Drosophila melanogaster: one gene and its partners. The protein of the gene in region 3 interacts with the protein of the main gene of each other region in a pairwise test. Each region holds a gene or a part of one and is shown on either strand. Other genes may lie near its edges. The genes, in order: CG13461, CG33655, CG4716 and CG6357.

Evidence for each region.
Region 1: the proteins of CG4716 (region 3) and CG13461 interact in a two-hybrid assay, tested with the Drosophila melanogaster proteins (one large-scale study listed by BioGRID).
Region 2: the proteins of CG4716 (region 3) and CG33655 interact in a two-hybrid assay, tested with the Drosophila melanogaster proteins (one large-scale study listed by BioGRID).
Region 4: the proteins of CG4716 (region 3) and CG6357 interact in a two-hybrid assay, tested with the Drosophila melanogaster proteins (one large-scale study listed by BioGRID).

What each region holds. Positions count from the first base shown.
Region 1 is NT_037436.4:15,050,535-15,054,390, reverse strand, and holds CG13461 (uncharacterized protein), read left to right. Parts: upstream 1-1,900; 5' UTR 1,901-1,915; coding exon 1,916-2,329; 3' UTR 2,330-2,460; downstream 2,461-3,856. Other genes in the region: CG18649 (uncharacterized protein), read left to right, coding at 288-566; CG43680 (uncharacterized protein), read left to right, coding at 1,096-1,245; CG43679 (uncharacterized protein), read left to right, coding at 3,177-3,368; CG12310 (uncharacterized protein), read left to right, coding at 3,626-3,856.
Region 2 is NT_033778.4:21,316,840-21,322,671, forward strand, and holds CG33655 (uncharacterized protein), read right to left. Parts: upstream 3,179-5,832; 5' UTR 3,125-3,178; coding exon 3,026-3,124; coding exon of another isoform or gene 3,022-3,025; intron 2,965-3,021; coding exon 2,740-2,964; 3' UTR 2,564-2,739; coding exon of another isoform or gene 1,242-2,563; 3' UTR 1,178-1,241; coding exon of another isoform or gene 1,008-1,177; 3' UTR 954-1,007; downstream 1-953. Other genes in the region: CG9485 (uncharacterized protein), read left to right, coding at 1-713, 770-947, 1,008-1,177, 1,242-2,563; CG30394 (uncharacterized protein), read right to left, coding at 3,322-4,917, 4,973-5,109, 5,170-5,318, 5,379-5,617, 5,669-5,832.
Region 3 is NT_033778.4:13,253,990-13,258,494, reverse strand, and holds CG4716 (uncharacterized protein), read right to left. Parts: upstream 1,909-4,505; 5' UTR 1,813-1,908; coding exon 1,141-1,812; 3' UTR 1,049-1,140; downstream 1-1,048. Other genes in the region: CG10799 (uncharacterized protein), read right to left, coding at 44-544; CG4714 (uncharacterized protein), read left to right, coding at 4,270-4,505.
Region 4 is NT_033778.4:13,837,955-13,843,098, reverse strand, and holds CG6357 (uncharacterized protein), read right to left. Parts: upstream 3,047-5,144; 5' UTR 3,022-3,046; coding exon 2,794-3,021; intron 2,725-2,793; coding exon 2,455-2,724; intron 2,395-2,454; coding exon 2,125-2,394; intron 2,067-2,124; coding exon 1,782-2,066; intron 1,719-1,781; coding exon 1,452-1,718; 3' UTR 1,356-1,451; downstream 1-1,355. Other genes in the region: CtsL2 (cathepsin L2), read right to left, coding at 3,881-4,610, 5,052-5,144.

The DNA of each region.
Region 1 (3,856 bases), on a different chromosome or scaffold from region 3:
TTCCTTAGGTTATACAATATATTGTATATAAAAGTATGACGTTAGCCACGTTTCACTGTAATCTTTATACGTTCTCCAAGTTCCGTCAGTCAAATGTTTACGCACGACTTTGCCTCATTTTTTGACGCTCAAACCAAGGCAACAGCTGTCGCGGGGTAAACACAAAACGAACCAAATAAATTGTCACAATGCGCGCTTTTATTTTTCTGCCAATTTAGAGATTTTGCTATAAAAGCGTATTTTCAATGTGGAACTGAACTTAGTTGAAAACTAAATTTGACAATACAATGCGTGCCTATTTGCTGCTTGCCCTGTTTGGATGTGTGCTTTTGGCCACAGTTTCCGCAAATCCGGTGGACATTGACGACTTGGAGGACCTCGAGGAGGACAAACGAATTGCTGATGAGCAGGATAATGCTAACGATGATGAGAAAGACGATGAGGATTCAAATGAACCCGAGTCCGACGACGACTTAGATGAGCCTGAATCCCCGGAGGACGATTCCCAGAACAATGATGATTCCGAAAGCGACGAGAGCATCCAGTACAATCAAGATGAAGAGTAGCTCTAATGGGAATTAACCCTTTCTATTCTTTATTGTCTTTATCTACACGCTTTCACCGGTCGTTAGACGTTTAAACAACTGTTTACACAGAAATACACAGTTCATCTTCAACAACCAAATAAGTAAAGGTTTTTATGTTATTCTAGTAAATACACACATTTCTGGAAACACCCATCATAATTGGTGCTTTTTACTTAACTTCTTTTTATACAGCTCTTAAATGATTTTGTAAAGAATTACATACTAAACAAAATCTTAAAAATGCAATTTTTATTTAATTAATTGGCCTCAAAGCCACTCTTAATACTCTTATTTCAGCGCAGGGAAAAAGAAATAATTTTCTGCCTGTAATGTGTGGCTCAATAGATCAATAAATGTTTTATCTCTCAAATATTTACTTAACATTAGTAAGGTGCAGCCATTGTGCAGTTTGCAATAGAAATTTTAAAGCAAACACGGCATTCATATATAAGAAGTGCAGTACTTTGAAAAAACTTATTCAAAGAAGAACTAAGTCTACGAAATAGAGATGCACTTTCTGATGGTACTCGTGATAATTGCTCTTTTGGCCATGGCCTTTGTGAGTGCAAGCCCACTTCCCCATCCAAGTGGAGAAGTTATCGTTATTGTCAACCCAAAAGCCCCAGTTGACTGGTGCTCTACAACATCAGCGGCTTAAATTCGAAAATACAAAAATATTTAGAAATTCTCCCCCGATGCAATTTCTCAAACACAAAATATGAAATGAGCAACTGATAAATCACCAATAAAGAAAATAAAAATAAAACTTATTCAGGGTAAAACTTTTAAATACGTTTTTTGGTCTTTATAAGTTAAATGAAATCAATAAACGTTTTGAAGTTCGATTTGGAGATATCAGATTTTTTATTTTGCTTTATATTAGCACATATTACCACGACGGAAATGAAAATCCTTTAGGCGAAGTAAATAGTAATGAAGGTAAGAAAATTTGTATCTAATGTTTTAAAAAGGCCAAAAACCATTCACTATCTTTTTAATTCAATGATTGCATGCGAGTGTGTAATAAATATGACAAAATAAAAACAGAGGTCGCTATAGTCAAGTGCCACGACTATTAGATACCTGTTAATCAGAATAGAGGCAAGCACAACGAACCCACTTACTCAAAACAATTCTGGACAATTCCCAGAATAATATCAATTAAGATTGTGCGTCACCACGCAATAATGGGATAAGCATTTGTTCAAATATGAAATTCGTAAATGACTCGTTCAAATAACAAAAAAAGGCATTTAATATAAAAAGCGATTGATCGAGTAAAGTTTCAAATCAGTTTAAAACTTCGCTGAGCACAAGAACACAAAAAAATGCGATTCCTAATTGTCGTTGCTCTTGTGGCCTTTTTGGCTGTTGGTCTTGTGGCTGCACGGCCAGCTGAGGATGAGGAGTCCTCCATCCAGGATAACACCAATGAGGATTCGTCCAGTAATGATGGCGAGGGAAACTCCGATGCTGCCGAGGAAGAACCTGCTGTTGAAGAAAGTCAAGATTCTGGAAATGTGGATAACCAGGATGATGAAAATAGCGAGGATAATCAGGAGGAGTCAGATAATGAATCAAGCGGAGATGATGAGGAAGATAACAACGGGTCTGATGATAATACCGAATCGGATAATAATAACGATTCAGAAGGCGATCAGGAGCAGGATGCTCCACCCAACAACCAGATTCGACCATTCGGACCTCTTCTCATCCAAGCAAGGCCCCTTTTCCTCGATTAATAACACGTGTTTTTAAAATATCCATTAACAATAAACATTAGACAAAATGCTTTAAAATTATACAACAAATAAAACAGTAAATAAATTAAAGCTATATATGTCGATCGATATGAAAAAACGCCACAAAGTATATAATACTTTTTGCAGAATTTGTTTAGCTTGAGGGGCTTGTCTACACAGTTAAAAAAATTATATAGAATGAATACGCTTTCATACCATCAGTTTTTAAAAAAATGTATGCTTAAATGTCAGTTAAATAACAGTCTTTGGTATTTAAAATCTGGCCACAAGATTTTAAATAATTTGATTTTGCTAATATGCTGATATTATATATATAGTTAAAGTAAATTATTTCATTTAAAGTACCATAACACAAGATAAGCTGTATGTCATAACCCCAAGTATTTTCGTTAAAATCCCGTGTTACAGAATTGCTTTAGCAATTTTTACGGCTATTTTATTGTAAAACAATATATCTCTAAAGTTTTTGACTGCCATTCCCAGTGATATTATAGCAACAATGATTATATGGGGAATTTGAATAATTTCGTGCTACAGAATTTATATATTTTCAAGTTATTTTTAGTGCAAAGAAAGCTGCTTATGATATATGCCTCTCAGTTCCTAAATATATCTCTTAAATTGTAGTTCACTTACATCGTCAGGTGACGGAAGAGTTGGCAGATAAAACTGCAATATTTACTTTTGTACATATATGGCAATCTACAGATTGCACAGCTTGGCAGGTAAAATTTTTCTGAATAAGAAGAAACATTCCGTTTTTTATATAAAATGTGCAGTTGATAGGAGAAAGGTGTAGTTACCGGAGAAATTCAAGTGGATTAAGATGCGTTATTTAGGAATTATTGCTCTCGTCGCTTTCCTGGCCATTTCCACTGTGATGGCACATCCATATGCGAACAGTAGCACTGAAGAAGGATCAGGATCCAGTAACCGATCGACTATTCGTCCTGTCCCCAGATGGCCTAAGTGGGGTGGAATCGGTCCAGTCATTTTAAACACTCCCCCCACTCCGTGACAATGAACTACGGAAAGAAATTAATTGTGAAACCCCACAACGAACCTTTGTTGTTGTCTAAAAAAAAAAATATCTCCAAAAATACGCTTGTAAAACTTTCCATTGAGACAATTGTTCAAATACCAAAGCGTAAATAAAGATTTCGTAGTAGATTCTACGAATCGGCCAAAATTTGCGAGACTTTTCCTATAAATAGCTGAATGTTGTACGAAATGGGAAAGCAGTTTTCGCGATAACTTCTTAGACTCAACTTCAAAATGCGTTCCCTGATTCTTGTCGCTCTTTTGGCCTTCTTGGCTGTTGGCTTTGTGGCTGCCCGTCCAGCTGAGGATGAGGAGTCCTCCGCTGCCGTGGTTGAGAATGCCGATGAGGATTCGACTAGCAATGATGCGGAGAGCACCGAAGCCACTGATGCGGAGGAATCTTCTGATGATGAGGAGACGACTGAAGAGTCTGGTGATGCCGCTGACGAATCCAGCGATGATGCC
Region 2 (5,832 bases), 8.1 Mb from region 3:
CCAGATGGATCCCAACGTAGTTGCAGTTACTCGTCATTCGCCAATCACGCATCAGTCAGTTATTCTCGTGGCCCACACTGCCTTTGGCTATCCCTCTCCTAATGCCGGACCCACCGGAATCCGCCCGCTGCGTTTCGAGGGTGTGCTGGACGAGATCATCCTGGAGGCCAGCTTGACCATGCAGAGTGACAAGCCATTCGATCGTCCTGCTCCATTCAAAAAGGATCCGAATGTAATCAACGGCTTTACTCAGTTCCAGTTGAATCTGCAGGAGCACATCCCGCTGGCTAAGTCGACAGTGTTTCAGACCCAAGCCTATTCGGATGGCAACAACACGGAGCTAAACTTTGCCAATCTACGACCCGGCACTGTGGTGGCCATCAGAGTGTCTATGCATCCTGGTCCTCGCACCAGTTTCGATAAGCTCCAGAAAATCTCGGCTGCCCTGCGTATTGGATCTGGCGAGGAGTATTCCCAGCTGCAGGCTATCGTCTCCAAGTTGGATCTGGTGGCACTTAGTGGTGCCCTTTTCAGCTGCGATGATGAGGAGAGGGATCTTGGCAAAGGTGGCACCGCCTACGACATTCCCAACTTTGGAAAGATCGTTTACTGCGGATTGCAAGGATTCATTTCCCTGTTGACGGAGATTTCGCCTAAAAATGACTTGGGACATCCGCTTTGTAACAATCTGCGCGACGGAAACTGGATGATGGGTAAGTTTGTAAAGATAGAGATTTATGTAGTTACTTTACAACATAATTCTTTTCAGATTACATTTCTGATCGCCTAACTAGTTATGAAGACCTGAAACCACTCTCCGCCTGGTTCAAAGCTACCTTTGAGCCACTGAAGAATATTCCACGCTACCTCATACCCTGCTACTTTGATGCCATTGTCAGCGGGGTTTACAATGTGCTCATCAACCAGGTCAACGAACTAATGCCAGAGTATGTCCATTAGAGCCGACTGCATTCATGGAGTTTTTATTAAGTCTTTAATTTTTACAGCTTCATTAAGAATGGCCACAGTTTCCCACAATCCCTGGCCCTGTCCACGTTGCAGTTCCTCTCCGTTTGCAAGTCGGCCAATCTGCCGGGATTCAGTCCTGCTCTAAGTCCACCCAAGCCTCCAAAGCAATGTGTGACTCTATCTGCTGGTCTGCCGCATTTCTCAACGGGTGAGTTTATCTATTATATTTAACAATCGAAACGGAATAATGGAATATTCAACCATTTATGTAGGCTATATGCGGTGCTGGGGCCGTGATACCTTCATCGCTCTGCGTGGCTCCATGTTCCTCACTGGCCGTTACAACGAGGCTCGCTTCATCATCATTGGATTTGGTCAGACCCTTCGACACGGACTCATTCCGAATCTTTTGGACAGCGGCAGCAAGCCGAGATTCAACTGCCGCGATGCTATCTGGTGGTGGATGTACTGCATCAAGCAGTATGTGGAGGATGCCCCCAAGGGTGCCGAGATCCTGAAGGACAAGGTGTCCCGCATATTTCCGTACGACGATGCCGATGCCCATGCTCCAGGTGCCTTCGACCAACTTCTCTTCGACGTGATGCAGGAGGCACTGCAGGTGCATTTTCAGGGCTTGCAGTATAGGGAGCGCAATGCAGGCTATGAGATCGATGCGCACATGGTGGACCAGGGCTTTAACAATCAGATCGGAATTCACCCGGAGACTGGCTTTGTATTCGGAGGCAATAACTTCAACTGCGGCACTTGGATGGACAAAATGGGATCCTCACAGAAGGCCGGAAACAAGGGACGTCCAAGTACGCCGCGCGACGGATCAGCCGTGGAGCTCGTTGGCCTCCAGTATGCCGTACTCCGGTTTATGCAAAGCCTAGCCGAAAAGGAGGTTATCCCGTACACCGGCGTGGAACGAAAGGGTCCATCGGGCGAAGTGACCAAGTGGAGCTACAAGGAGTGGGCGGATCGCATCAAGAACAACTTTGACAAGTATTTCTTTGTATCCGAATCGGAAACCTGCTCGGTGGCCAACAAGAAGCTTATCTACAAGGACAGCTATGGAGCCACCCAGAGTTGGACGGACTACCAGCTGCGATGCAACTTCCCCATCACCTTGACCGTGGCTCCCGACCTGTGCAATCCTCAGAATGCCTGGCGTGCACTGGAGCGCGCCAAAAAGTATCTTCTGGGACCGCTGGGCATGAAGACGATGGATCCCGAGGACTGGAACTATAGGGCCAACTATGACAACTCAAATGACTCCACCGATTGCACTGTAGCCCATGGCGCAAACTACCACCAGGGGCCGGAGTGGGTATGGCCCATCGGTTTTTACCTGCGGGCGCGCCTGATCTTCGCCAAAAAGTGTGGCCATTTGGACGAGACCATTGCCGAGACCTGGGCCATACTACGGGCCCATCTCCGAGAGCTACAGACATCCCATTGGCGCGGATTGCCCGAGTTGACCAACGATAATGGCTCCTACTGCGGTGACTCCTGTCGCACGCAGGCCTGGAGTGTTGCTGCCATTTTGGAAGTCCTGTACGATCTGCACTCCTTGGGAGCAGACGTGGCCTAAACCACCGTAAATACTCATATTCAAACCTGTTAGTTGCTACCAAAAACTGTTATTAGTGTTACGTTTGATAATTGTACGGATACAAGATGGAATGAGATTCGATGCCTGAGGTCCCTTGAAATTTTGCTATTCCTATTCTATTAAAGTTGCAATTGTTTTTAAGCGTTCTTTTTCGTCTAAGAGAAGTAACTATCTCGGCACACACGCATGCAGGAGCATTGGGGGGGATCGATGGAGCCAAAGTTCTTTCGAGGCATGTCCCGTCCCGTATATTTTGGAATGGTGTTAGCCTCGGGAATCGTTGGAGCTTTCATTGGTGAAACCGCTTCCTGGGAAATAGGCTTGACCGGAGGTAGAGGCTTTTCACGCTTTGCTTTCGATTTACCATCCTCTATTTTCAGCTTAAATAGAAATTAACCATTGCGATATAAATATTATTTTAAAAATATTACACCTACTCACTTTGCCACATTTTCTCAAGGCTAAAATGGCTGCCTCGCATGTTAGATCGTAAGCTTTCTGCAACACAACTTGTTGGATAACATCAAGGACGATGGACATTTTGATGGAATTACAAAAAACCTGGGCTTCACATACAATTTTGCTAGCAACTCCACGAGAAATTTGACACAATATTCCCAAGTCATATGAACTGTATATAATTTGTATATACTTCTAGTCTACAGTTTCTTATAAACTAAATAAATACATGTAAAGGTTATATACATAAAGCTTTGCATAGTTGTAAACTATCCGCATTACGTCTGCAGCGAAGTTTGGGTTCCATTTGGACTCGCTTGGTAGGATTCGTTTTCAGTAACTATCTCGACGTCATCATCTTTGATGGATTTGAGATCGCGTCCAATACTTTCCATGTTCAAGCTCAAGGCAGCTGCAGCCACATTATTATTCACTTCATCCAGCTTGGGCTGGCGTAGGCAGTTCTCGTCGTTTGAGGCCTCACGTTTAACCCTTGCCGGTGGCTGCTCTGTCGCATCCGCCGAACTTCGCAGATTGAGCAGCTCCCGGCGAATGGCCTCTACATTGTCTTCAAGGTTGGGTTTCTTGATCTCCGAGTCATTCGATGATTTCGGCTGAGTAGAATTCACCATTAGGGCTAGTGGAATGGGCAATCGTTTGATAAGCGCTTCTTTATCTACGGTCGAATTCCTGAGTAACTCTCCGGTTTTGTAGGATAGAGGTTCAAAAACGCCGGCATGGGCCTCCTTTTCATCGCGCAAATGTGTATTTTCCGTGAGTATGTCCATTAACGATGCCTGCCGCCTTCTCTCCTTCTTTTCGTCCGCAACTGGCTGCGACTCCTTAAGCTTAATTTCAGCCTTCTTCGGTTCCTCGGCAAATTTCGCACCAGTATCCAAAGGCTCATCTTTCTGTAACTCCAAAGGTGGCTGATTAAATGAATTTTTCTTGGCCAACTCTTCGTTTAGCTCCCCAACGGTTTTCGCCAATAGTTTTTTGGTCTCCTTTAATTCCTTTTGGGTTTTGAGTAGCTCATCTGCATTAGCCTTACTTTCCTTTTGCTCTTCGGCAGCCACGTCCTCCTCCTTCTTGATGGCCGCTCCATCAATTGTATTGCTTGCTGATAACAAGCTCGATCCAATTTTTGGTTTATCTGGAAGCGATGCAGCAACAGCAGGCGGATTATTCTTGGGCTTATCCACGGTAAGGTTGACATCGAGTGGTTTGGCTTCTGGTGGGTTTGCTTCTACGGCTTCTACTGGTAGTTTTTTAATATCCGTTTCAGAATTTTTACTATCTATGGGAACTACATGGACTTCATCGATGGGCAGTGGTGGCAACGGTGGGTTGTCGGAGGAAGCTGATTGCACTACCTCCGGCATATCAACAACTTTATCCTCAACGGTTTGTTTTAATTTGTCTGGATTTTGGACATCCAGTTTCTTTAACAATAGGTTCTTTTCACTGTCAATGGATTCTTTGGCCAAATGTTTTGGTAGCTCGCCGACGACAGCTGGCACTTGGCCATCGGGATACAGAGGGGTGCCTATGGCAACCATATCAAACTCCGGGCCGGAGCTCTTTTCATCAATTGCACTTAGGTTCGCATACGTTCCCAGGATCATCAATAGAAATCCACTTACGAATACAAACTGGGCAAGCGTACGTTCCATAGATTCCTTTTTGATGATTTTTCGAAAACTGGATGCGGGGAACATTATACAAATGGCTACGCCAATGGTGGAACCCACCAAGCCAATTATAAGCTCCACGGAGGGAATAACCAAAGCCACGCATAACGAAAAGACAACGATGAAGATAGTGATGAATCGAAAGCGTTGTTCAGGTATGTAGCTACTGCTTTCCGTATGACCCTATACAAAATAGATATTTAGTGTCTACACCATCCAACTGAAGTTACAAAAATACCTTTCTGTATAGCAGCGAATAGAGACTGGCTCTGCAGGGAAAGATTACCAATGGGAAACTAAAAGCAATTGACAGCACAAAGCCAATTTTAATGATATCGCTACCAAAGGAGGTCGATAAGTTCACCAGAATGTTGCCTATAAATACAAAGCCAAATATGTAGAACAGAGAATGCCTCAAAAAGGTGGCTGGCTTACCCGAAAAGGTGTGCGTACAAAACGCCACATATCCGAAAAAACCAACAGATATGTAAACAAAAGTACAAATCCAAGTGGCATTGCGGACGATGCCGTTTAATTTGTCGAGACTCTGGTTGTTAATGCTCTCAAAGACCTCAAATAGTTGCCTGTAAATAGATCAGATATATAAATAAATTTTGCGGACATAGAAAGCAGGGTGTACACACATTTGGCAGGAGAGAGCCATGCTGAAGATGGGTAGGCATTGGAGTACGCCCGCCGGTTCCCAGTAGAGCACCTTTTCCGTCCAGTCGTTGGCCGTAATGTGTGGCTGGGCCTCCAACACGATCTTGAGAATTAGGCAGACATAGAAACCTATGGACGCGGTGCAAACGGCGGACAAGCTGTCCACATTGCGGAGCATGCCGAGGGGCACTATGCACACCACAGTGACTACGACCATGACCTGGTAGATAAGAGTTAGTTTCTCTTCTTGGATAGAATAGCACTTTCTTACCAGACTCCGCAGATGCAGGTGATCTGCCACGTCCAGCGCGAAAATCTTGGCGATTATCTGCGGACCCAGATCGCCCACGACCACAAAATACGTGATGCACGTTCCAATCAGGTAGCCAATGATGCACAGCTCCACCAGCAGCTTGCCGGAAGTACCGAAAGCAT
Region 3 (4,505 bases):
AGAATTTTTAAATTTTTAGAATTCTTCTTTGCTTTTATTTAATTTATGAACGGTTGTATTGCTGTAGACGACCGGACTCTGGTAGAGTTTTACAAATCGCATACATATCCCTTATTTCAATTCTAGAATCTAGGGTAATACCGTTCTCCAAATCTCTGAAATCAGCATTTGGGCAAATCGTGGCCAGGAGCCCTATATTCCTGTTCCTCTCACCAGACCTGCGCCTTCTGACAGCGGACTCCGATTCTTCCTCGGATGCCATGATCAGCATAGAAGACGATTCCATTGAGCTGTCCATTTTATCGTTAACATTCTCATTGCTACCATCCGTGAGCTCATCATCTTCCGTGCTGTTACTAGTGTCCTTGGTAGCTCGCTTGCTGATAGTTTTCTCGATACTGCTCTTCAGATTCTGCTGCTTCGATAGCTCACTATAATCATTATACTCGGAATCCGATTCGGAGTCCTCCCAAATTGGGGGCAAAGGAAGTGCCGCGCTCAGCACAATGGCGGAGATTAGGAACAGCAAAACAGATCGACGCATCCCGGTAATCTTTGTATATCCTGGTAAACTCCACTATTCCACTAGCTTGATGGGTGGGTTCTTCTCGCTGAGACTGATTTTTTCGAACTGATTCTGGACAGCTGCACACGTTACCGGCGAAGCCTCAACAAATGTGCTATCGCCTCCTCGGCGATTATGTGATTATAGACTCAAATTCAATTGAGTCAGGCAGATAGTGGGTTTCAGAAATGACTCTTTATAATGCATGTAGATTGAAACAGACGCACTTAGTCCCTTAAAACAGACACGTAATGCATAATTTGACTTACACAATTAAATAAGCTAAGTTTCAATGTTAGGTGAGCTAATTTCCAAATGCATTTCAAGTAATGAAAATTGTAATAGTTAAATAATATGGCAAAATTAATTATTAGAAGAGGAAAATATTTCTTGTTGCTGATATTTATACGTGTTACTCGTAAACTTGAATAAACACACCCCATAAGTTAAAAAGTAAATAATACATAGGCAATAGCCTAATCTCTTGTTTTGATGACTCAGTCATTATAATAATAGTAAAAATGTAATATGGCTACGAAAACATAAGCTATAATGTTATTTATGTTTATTCAAAATCATTCGGCATAGGTGGCCTCGTTGGCCTCTTTGGAGCTAACCTCCATGACCTCGCATCCCTGGGCGTAGTCTTCGATGCTGGTGTTGTCCTTGTCCTTCAAAAGCTCCGCCACAGCCTGCGCCATCTGCTCGTCCAGTTCCTTCTCAGCCTGGGCATCCAGGTCCGGCGCATCGCTGGATTTCTGATCGGCAGCCTGGCGTCTTCGTCTAGACTCCCTTTGCTTACAAAAGCTTACGGCCCGGTCATATGCAGATTGTAGATTGAAATTCTTAATATCGAATTCTTTCAGTGACTGGCAAAAGGATCGCACCATCGTATCCTCCGTGCTTCTGCGTTTCCTAGCAGTGTGCTCCGTAGTTGTTTCTTCTACCGCAGCTGGTGTTGTCTTTTCCTCGGAGGAGGAATCGCCGGAGCTGTCCGCCTTGTTCTTGGCCTTGTCTTTGGCTTTGTCATTATGCTCCTCAGATGAGCTGCTGGCATCCTTGGCAGATCGTTTGATAATATGGATTCCGGTGCTCTCGTCCAGGTCCTGCAGTTCACCGCTGTCTTCGCTCAGCGTCAGCATCTGCTCCAGCCAATCCTCCTCGGATTTGGTTAGTCTTGAGGGCAGAGCCACTGCAGCACAGAAAAGGATGGCTGACACGGCCAGTAGTAACAGTGATCGCTGCATTGATCTAGTCCTTGTGGTATAACCTTTTAAGGTATGTAAACTCTCCTGTGCTCCTCTAGGCACACTTTGCGCCAAGACCTTATTTTGCAAACTGACTACGACCGATGGCAAAGATTTGCCAAGAAACCTCAAAAGTTCGTTTCTGTCCAGATTTTCAGATTACGGGTGCAACCGTAATTAAAGCTTCCATCAAATGCGAATGTATAAATACATATATTTCATATAGATTGCACATAACACTCTCTCCCATTTTCAGTTTCCGCGGCACTGCGCAATTTCCGAGTTTGCGCCAATTGCGAGTCCAGAAATCCAGACTCACTTGCATAATTCATGACAACAAATTGAGAGGCTGTGGAACGCGATGCACTATCGAGCTGCCAAAGTCAGGCCTGATAAGCCCACGGATCACTACAGATCATCCCGACGCGCAATTTGTAATTATTGATGCTACTTCAAAACAGATGAGCAAAAATGTATAAGTATAATCCGAGTACACAGCAAGCAAAAAATGTAAATTTACCAGTCACAGGTAATATTTTTGTATTCAGAATTATTTTAAAACAAATTTAAACACTCAAAATCTTGTTGAATACATAATATTTTTTTATTAGCTTTACAATTTTGTTTTATAGATAAATTCCTTAATTAAATATATATATAATATATATGTTAACTCATCTAATCTTTTAATGCTTTTCAGTGAAATCCATATTTGTTTTTAAAGAACGACCCACATAAATTGAACTTCTAATCTAAACAGCATATATATGTATATATAATTTCTGGGAAAAAATATAAAATTAAATTTATTAATGAAAAAATGAATTCCAAAGAGCTCCATTAAATCAAAAAATCCGAAAGTTAAGCGCTTGCCTATTTCTTCTTTTCATATAAGTAAAAGTAAGTAAAACGAAAACTTTTACCATAAAATTGTTTATCATTTTTTAATCTGTTCGATTTGTGTATCCAAAAGACTATCTTTTCCCGCGCTGTGTAGAGAAACACTCGTAAATTACAATTTTGCCGGCGCAACGTGCCAGCGTAATTGAAGCGTTTCGTGGAGGGAAAGTCAAGTTCAAGAGTTCTCCTAAGTATCCGACAGATACTGTAGACGCCTAAGCCAAAAATGCCACTTAAGACAGATAAGCAAACAAAAAAAAAAAGTGAAAGGATTCCCGAAAAGTTTCGGACTGAATGATAAATAGCAAAAGGATTCCCTTTCGGTTTCGCCGAAGAAGACGTGAGACGACTGGGAAGTGCGTCCACCGGTAGGTCACATGTGTCCACTGATGAGTGCCCAGTAGGGGCAATTATAGTGTCACCGGTGTTTACCCGACTATTAAATATCCATCAGAAAGTTGGCTATTATTCACCTGAAGGCGCGGCAATGGCAGCGTCTTAAATAACATCGAAAACAAATTTATTTAACAGCCATCAAAGGGGATTGGCCCATTGCGTCTGTCATAAAAAAAGTTATTTGCCCTCTTACTGCGGATCCAACTTATTGAATATGATTCCCAGATGTCCTCCGCAACATCAAAGGGAAAGCAGTGGATTGGGTGGAGCAAAGTCGCAGGCTCATGCATAATTTAAAGCAATTTGGCATTGTGCTGAATCAATTTCCACGCCCAGACAATCAAACGGAAAGTATTAAGACCCGAAATCCATTCCACGTGCTGCAGTGCTTCCCATGCAAATTATACTCTTCAGCACTGCAGCACTTTTATGTAAATCCTTGCTCCAGGCACCAGGTGCCGCTGCCCAAAATGGCAGTGAATTAAAGCGCCGACATTTTGTCATATTTATTAAAAATTTATCAATGTCATAAAGTTTACCGCACCCGGACAAAAAAAATTCCAAGAACACACGCACACAATGGGCAACGATCAATCAACTTTAAAGCCCTCGCAAGATTTACTTAGGTCCTCCAATTGGACCCCAGATGGTGCTTAAAGTCCGGCAGTTTCGCCTTAATTCCACACAAAGTTCGGTAATGGAGCTGTAGTTCTTAAAAATAAAAAATCGCCTTCTTATTAAGACTAAAGAATCTGTTTACACAAGTTCATATCATTTAAATTCATTTTGTTTATTGCTTAAGAACGTTTAATCTAAATGGATATAGTATTAGTATGTCAAGCCTAAAAGTATACCAGTTTTTCTTTAAATCAAATGCGTTCATTTATAACTTGTACTGCAAGAGCTTTGCAAAAAGTATTGGATATATGTATTTATTATTTATATATTTAAATTTTAATTAATCCATATTGACATAAACTTTTTATTACCTATTATTTAGCTTGAGTTATTTGTCACAATAAGATAGAAACTCAAAAACACAACACACCCACAGGTAACACAAAATAAACACACACAAAAAAATATAAAATAATAAAAACATTTAAAAACAACAAAAACACCAAAAAAAAAACAAAACACACACACACATTAACACCAAAAATGTCCCAGAATCATGCCTCTACGGAAGAAGTCTTGCACGTGGTGGAGGCCATCGAGGCAGGTGAAAAATCCGAGGTAGACACTGTTCCAGTGGTTGTGCCACCAGAATCAACAGCTGAGCCCGAAGTGATCTCCAAGCCAGAGGAGGGCAACCAACCAGCTGGCGATGAGCCGCGGGAGGAGAAGCCACAGATCGAATCTGGCGCAATTACCGCCCAGGTGGCGACGGAGGAGGG
Region 4 (5,144 bases), 580 kb from region 3:
AAGCAGCTGAAACCAATCCAAGCACTGGCTTTAGCTATTGGAAGAGTCAAGGGATATATCCAAACCGATCCGATCCGATATGAGATCGGATGGGATGAGATGGGATGGTTCGGATAAGGAGTAGTTTGAATAACTCGTAAGCTAGCCCTTTAAGTTGAGTGTGCAGTTTTTTGTAGTGGAAATTTGTTGCAATATATATATATATATATATATATATATATATTATACAGATATACAACTAGTTATATATCCCATATGTATACATGCAGACCGCGCTTTCAACGTTGTTAGTTATTTAGTGTTTACGTGTACGTACCATTTGAATTGATTTGAATTGATTTGTTTTGGTGCCAGACCCTGGTCCCCCCGATGATCAGCTTGTTAGCAATGGCAATAGCTCGAGACAGAGGAAAACATGATGTTTTTTTAGATAAATTTACACACGTGCAGTGCAAATAGTTGATGCAAATAGTTGATGCGATTCGGCCACCTGAAGGACATACATATGTACGAACCACACTGCTCAAGCCACATATCCAATTTACCATCTGAGATTTACCCAACAAATATAGAACCTGTGGCCAGGGTCGATGCTTGGTTAGATGAGCAGCAAATGCAACCACTTACAATAAACGCCAAACAATATGTAAATTCTAAACCATAAGAGATTCAATAACCGTAGAATTGTTGTGAGGGATTCAGTACTCGGGAGATTACTGCAGGAATATTTCTAGTTATGGTTCGCAAAAACACGCTGAAGATATGAAATGGTATAGGGCTTGTTCAAGGCTTACTGTTGCCACCCCCTTCCTACCAAAAGATTTGTATAGTAACTATAAATGCCCCAACAATACCCATTATGCATTGTAAAGAAGCGGTGTGTTGTCCACTTCGATGTACTCAGATATCAATGAATGTAAACATATTGATTACATAAAAACGTTCACTTAGTGCAGCAACTTGCGATAACCTACAAATGTATTTGTTAAATTAAATACTATATACATATATATTATATATATTTACGGATTGTATGTGTAATACGAATAATGCGCCCTGTTAAATGCAACAAGGAGATAGGGATCTCAGCAAATATACAAGTATAAATTAATCATTTAGAGTTCGTGTGCGTTATAAAACAAAAAGGTAGTGAAAGAAACATAAAACAAAATTTACTCATTTAAAACTTAATGATCGATTTAAATAGCGAACCCAGCCATAAAATCGGCTTGAACATTTGCGAAACACTATTGTAATAGATAAACTCCTCAAGCAAGATTCTCAACTGGACAGCCCCTCAAGAAATAATAATAAATACATATTTTTAAAAATTAACCCAAAATCACTAAGGTATTCTCTTTGCGTTAGTAGCAATATTTTTGCGTGTATTTAAAAGGTGACAAACATTTCATCTGAAAATGTACTCGGTACAATATCTTATCATCTAGTTTTTAAAAAACATTTTTTTTGTATTTCTTCTCCTTGCTTATTTTTGTAGTCGTTTCTTCTTTTGAAAACTCTGGAGCTAAATTAGGTCGTTGTTTGGTTTTCCACTCTTCTACAGTTAGATCACTCCACTGATTTATGCCCTTCTTGAAAGATTCCACTCCCAATTCGAACTGCTCATTGTGTTCCTGAATCGCTTTCCAATTGTCGCAAAATATAGTTCGGCGTTTTTCTGTTTCTTTTTCATCTTGATATTTCGCACCGAAATCAATCTGTAATAAAGATATATTCATTCAAATTCTCAAATTCTATTTACATTGCAAGCCAAATATTACCAAAAACTTTTTCCATGCTGCCTGACATGTATTATCATCCCTCTTATCCTTAGATATTTTTGTAGTAGCTTCAACTTTAGAAAACTCTGGATTAAAAGCAGGTCGTTGTTTGTTTTTCCACTCCTCAACGGTCAAATCACTCCACTGATTTATACCCTTCTTAAAAGAAATATTTCCCAAATCGAATTGAACATTGTGCTTATGTATCGACTTAAAGTTGTCGCAAAATACATTTCGTCGCTTTTCGGTTTCAGTATCATCTTGATAAGACGGCTTAAAGTCAATCTGCAATTGATAAAAGCAACTTTAATAAAAATTCTTTAAATACCCAACCATATCTTACCAGGAACTTCTCCCAAGCCGGCTGGCATATGATATTATCATTATCTATTTCGGATGTAGATGTAGTGGCTTCTTCCTTACGAATCTCGGGAGCAGGACTAGATCGTTCCTCAATAGTATGATCAGTCCACTGATTTATGTCCCTCTTGAAGGGCTCTGCCCACTTTTCATACTGCACATTGTGCTCCACAATCGCCCTCCAGTTTGCACAAAATACATTGCGGCGTTTCTCGGTTTCATTTGCATTCTTATACTGCGCTCCAAAGTCAATCTGTAATTCATATCATACATATTAATACCAAGTTGGTTTTAATAACCTAGCTAATCTTACCAAAAACTTTTCCCATGCAGCCTGGCAATTGACTTTGTCTCGCTCCTCCTTTGATGATTCACTAGCGATTTCTGGCATAACTTTGGGAGTTTGTTTCTCTTTCCACTCTTCAAAGGTAAGATCACTCCACTGGTTGATACCCTTCTTGAAGCTGACAACTCCCAAATCGTATTTCAAATTGTGATCGCGAACTTTTTGCCAATTTTCGCAGAATATATCACGTCGCTTTTGCCGTTCGTAGTCATTATCGTAGTGTACATCAAAGTCGACCTTGGAGTGTATACAAATAACTTCCTTGAACGATACCCTTTCTTGGAATTATGCGATCAAAAAACTTACCAAGAACCTTTGCCATGCAAACTGGCATTCCTCCTCGAACTCAGATAAGCCAGAGGTGTGTTCAATTGTGGGTGTCGATGAGTCAGCGTCGCTTTTCCCAGTAGTAACCCCAATCTCTGGATTGATTTTTTGTGTAGCAGGTGATGATGTGCTTACTGGTACGCCCAGAGCCACGCCCATCAAATACAGGAGCAGTGGGACGCCAAGTAAAATTCGAGCTGAGGTCATCTTGAACACTTTTCTCGTACTGCGCTCCGCACTGCCAGAATCGCGAATTATATGGGGAATACATACATATATAATTGCAAGTACTCAAAATCAGCTGCATTCAGAGAGAAATCTAAATAAAAACCGACAACGAGAGCGATTTCTTTTGCTCTCTTTTCTCTTAAGTGTTGATCTTTTAAAAGAGTAACTGCATTTACGTGACCTTGCCCACCAAATATATAACAACTGGCATAATTGCTTTATGATTTGTTGCAATAGTATTGAATTAAATTAATTTGAAATTTAAGCCCCGTTTTTATACCCATTACTCGGCGGGAATACTAGGCTCGTTGATAGGAATGTAACAACTACATTCTAGATATGTATGTGTTTTCCACACAAATGCTGTAAACAAACGTTACGCTGCTTGCAGCTTTTTCTGATTAACGGGTATGCATTAGTCGTGACACCCGACTGTAGCGTTATTTCTTGTTTATATTAAATTTGTCGCAAATTTACACGGTTATACGGTTATGTGTGCATTGTTCATTTTCTATCCACTTTGCCAAATTGAAATTTATTACTTTCTCAAACAACTTCCCACACAGCGTTGTTCTTCATTAAGAAAATGTTTCTCAAAAAATAAATAAGACCGAAAATTAATTTTTGTGTGCATAGCCGTTAAGACTACGATCCAATTTCTCAGAATTTCCCCAGAAAGCAACACAAACCGATAAGGCACTTGTTTCATTTATTAACCGCGTGACTCATGGAATCGATGTGGTGACCCACACAGCTTACGACTACAGTAACAAAGTTATAAATTCGTGGTTTTTAATTGACTATACTATCTAACTAATTGCATGGCGCAGTTGTGAGCCTACAGAATGGGGTAGCTGCACTCGCTGGCGATGCCGCAGAATCCACCTGCATTCCGGAGGATGCGCATAAAGCCGCCCTCGCCCCAATTCTGAGAGTACGAGTTCTTGATGATCCAGTAGTCGCGTCCATTTTCCGTTCCATAGCCCACCACGGTTACCGAGTGATTCAGTTCGCCCTGATTGCACTCCTCGTCCTCGTAGATGCCACCGCTGTACTGCTCAAACGAAATGGTGTCCGCGTTCATGGAGCACGCCAACGGTCCCAACGTGGCAATCACCTCCTTCATCTTCTCCTCATCCCCGGGAGTAATGGTGGCATAATCGCGAATTTTCACCAGACTCTCGCGCGGTGGACGTCCGGCGGTTTCGTTCTGACGGCACTGCATCTCCGTCTGTGTGTACGGATATTTGTTGGCCAGCGTTACACCGTGATCGCGTATGTACTCGAAACCGTACTCCTGGAAGCCACCGTCACAGCCCATGTTGCCGTAGTCATCGGCACAGTCCACCAGATTCTGCTGCGACAGCGAGGCCAGCACTCCAGTCCGCCGGAATAGATGTCCTTCGAGCGCTCCTGTGGTGGCGAACGACCAGCAGGCACCGCATCCCACACCCTGGAATCCCGGTGGCGTCACTCCGCCCTTCTCGCGCCAATCGAACATCTCGGGAAGATTGGCACTCGCCGGATTCCTGGCAGTCACAAAGTTGATATGGCCATTCGTATATCTCCTGCAAGGTAAGTAAAACATTTTAGTATTCCGTTAAGCAAAGATTAAAGCAAATTAGTAGCTTACTTAAGTGGCAACCAGACTACATTTAAATGTTATTCATAATGTTCTTAAATGTATGACAAACAACCGATAAGTTATGAAACATTTGTTATGGAGCTTCGTCGTAATAAATAAGTTCGATATGGAAGGGTTTTGTTTGTTTCCACCCATTTGGTTATAGTTTTCGGGAAACCACAAACCTATGGTCGGAATATTTGATCAATTCTGATTTCTTGATTAGCATAACCGGGAAACCAATCGGCACCTACGTAACGTTACAAATCATATGGACGACGATACCGAAACCCGTTTGAAAGTTATAAGCTGGGTGATAATTCGTTTATGGCCAAAAAGGGGACTTCCCCCGAGCTCTAGATATGCGTAAGATGGTGCTACTTACTCGCCAAATTCGGAGATTTTGGAGCCCAGCAAGGTGGCTATCTCCTTTCTGGTCATGTCGGCCAGCGTATTGACGCCCAGCCGGAATCCGGAC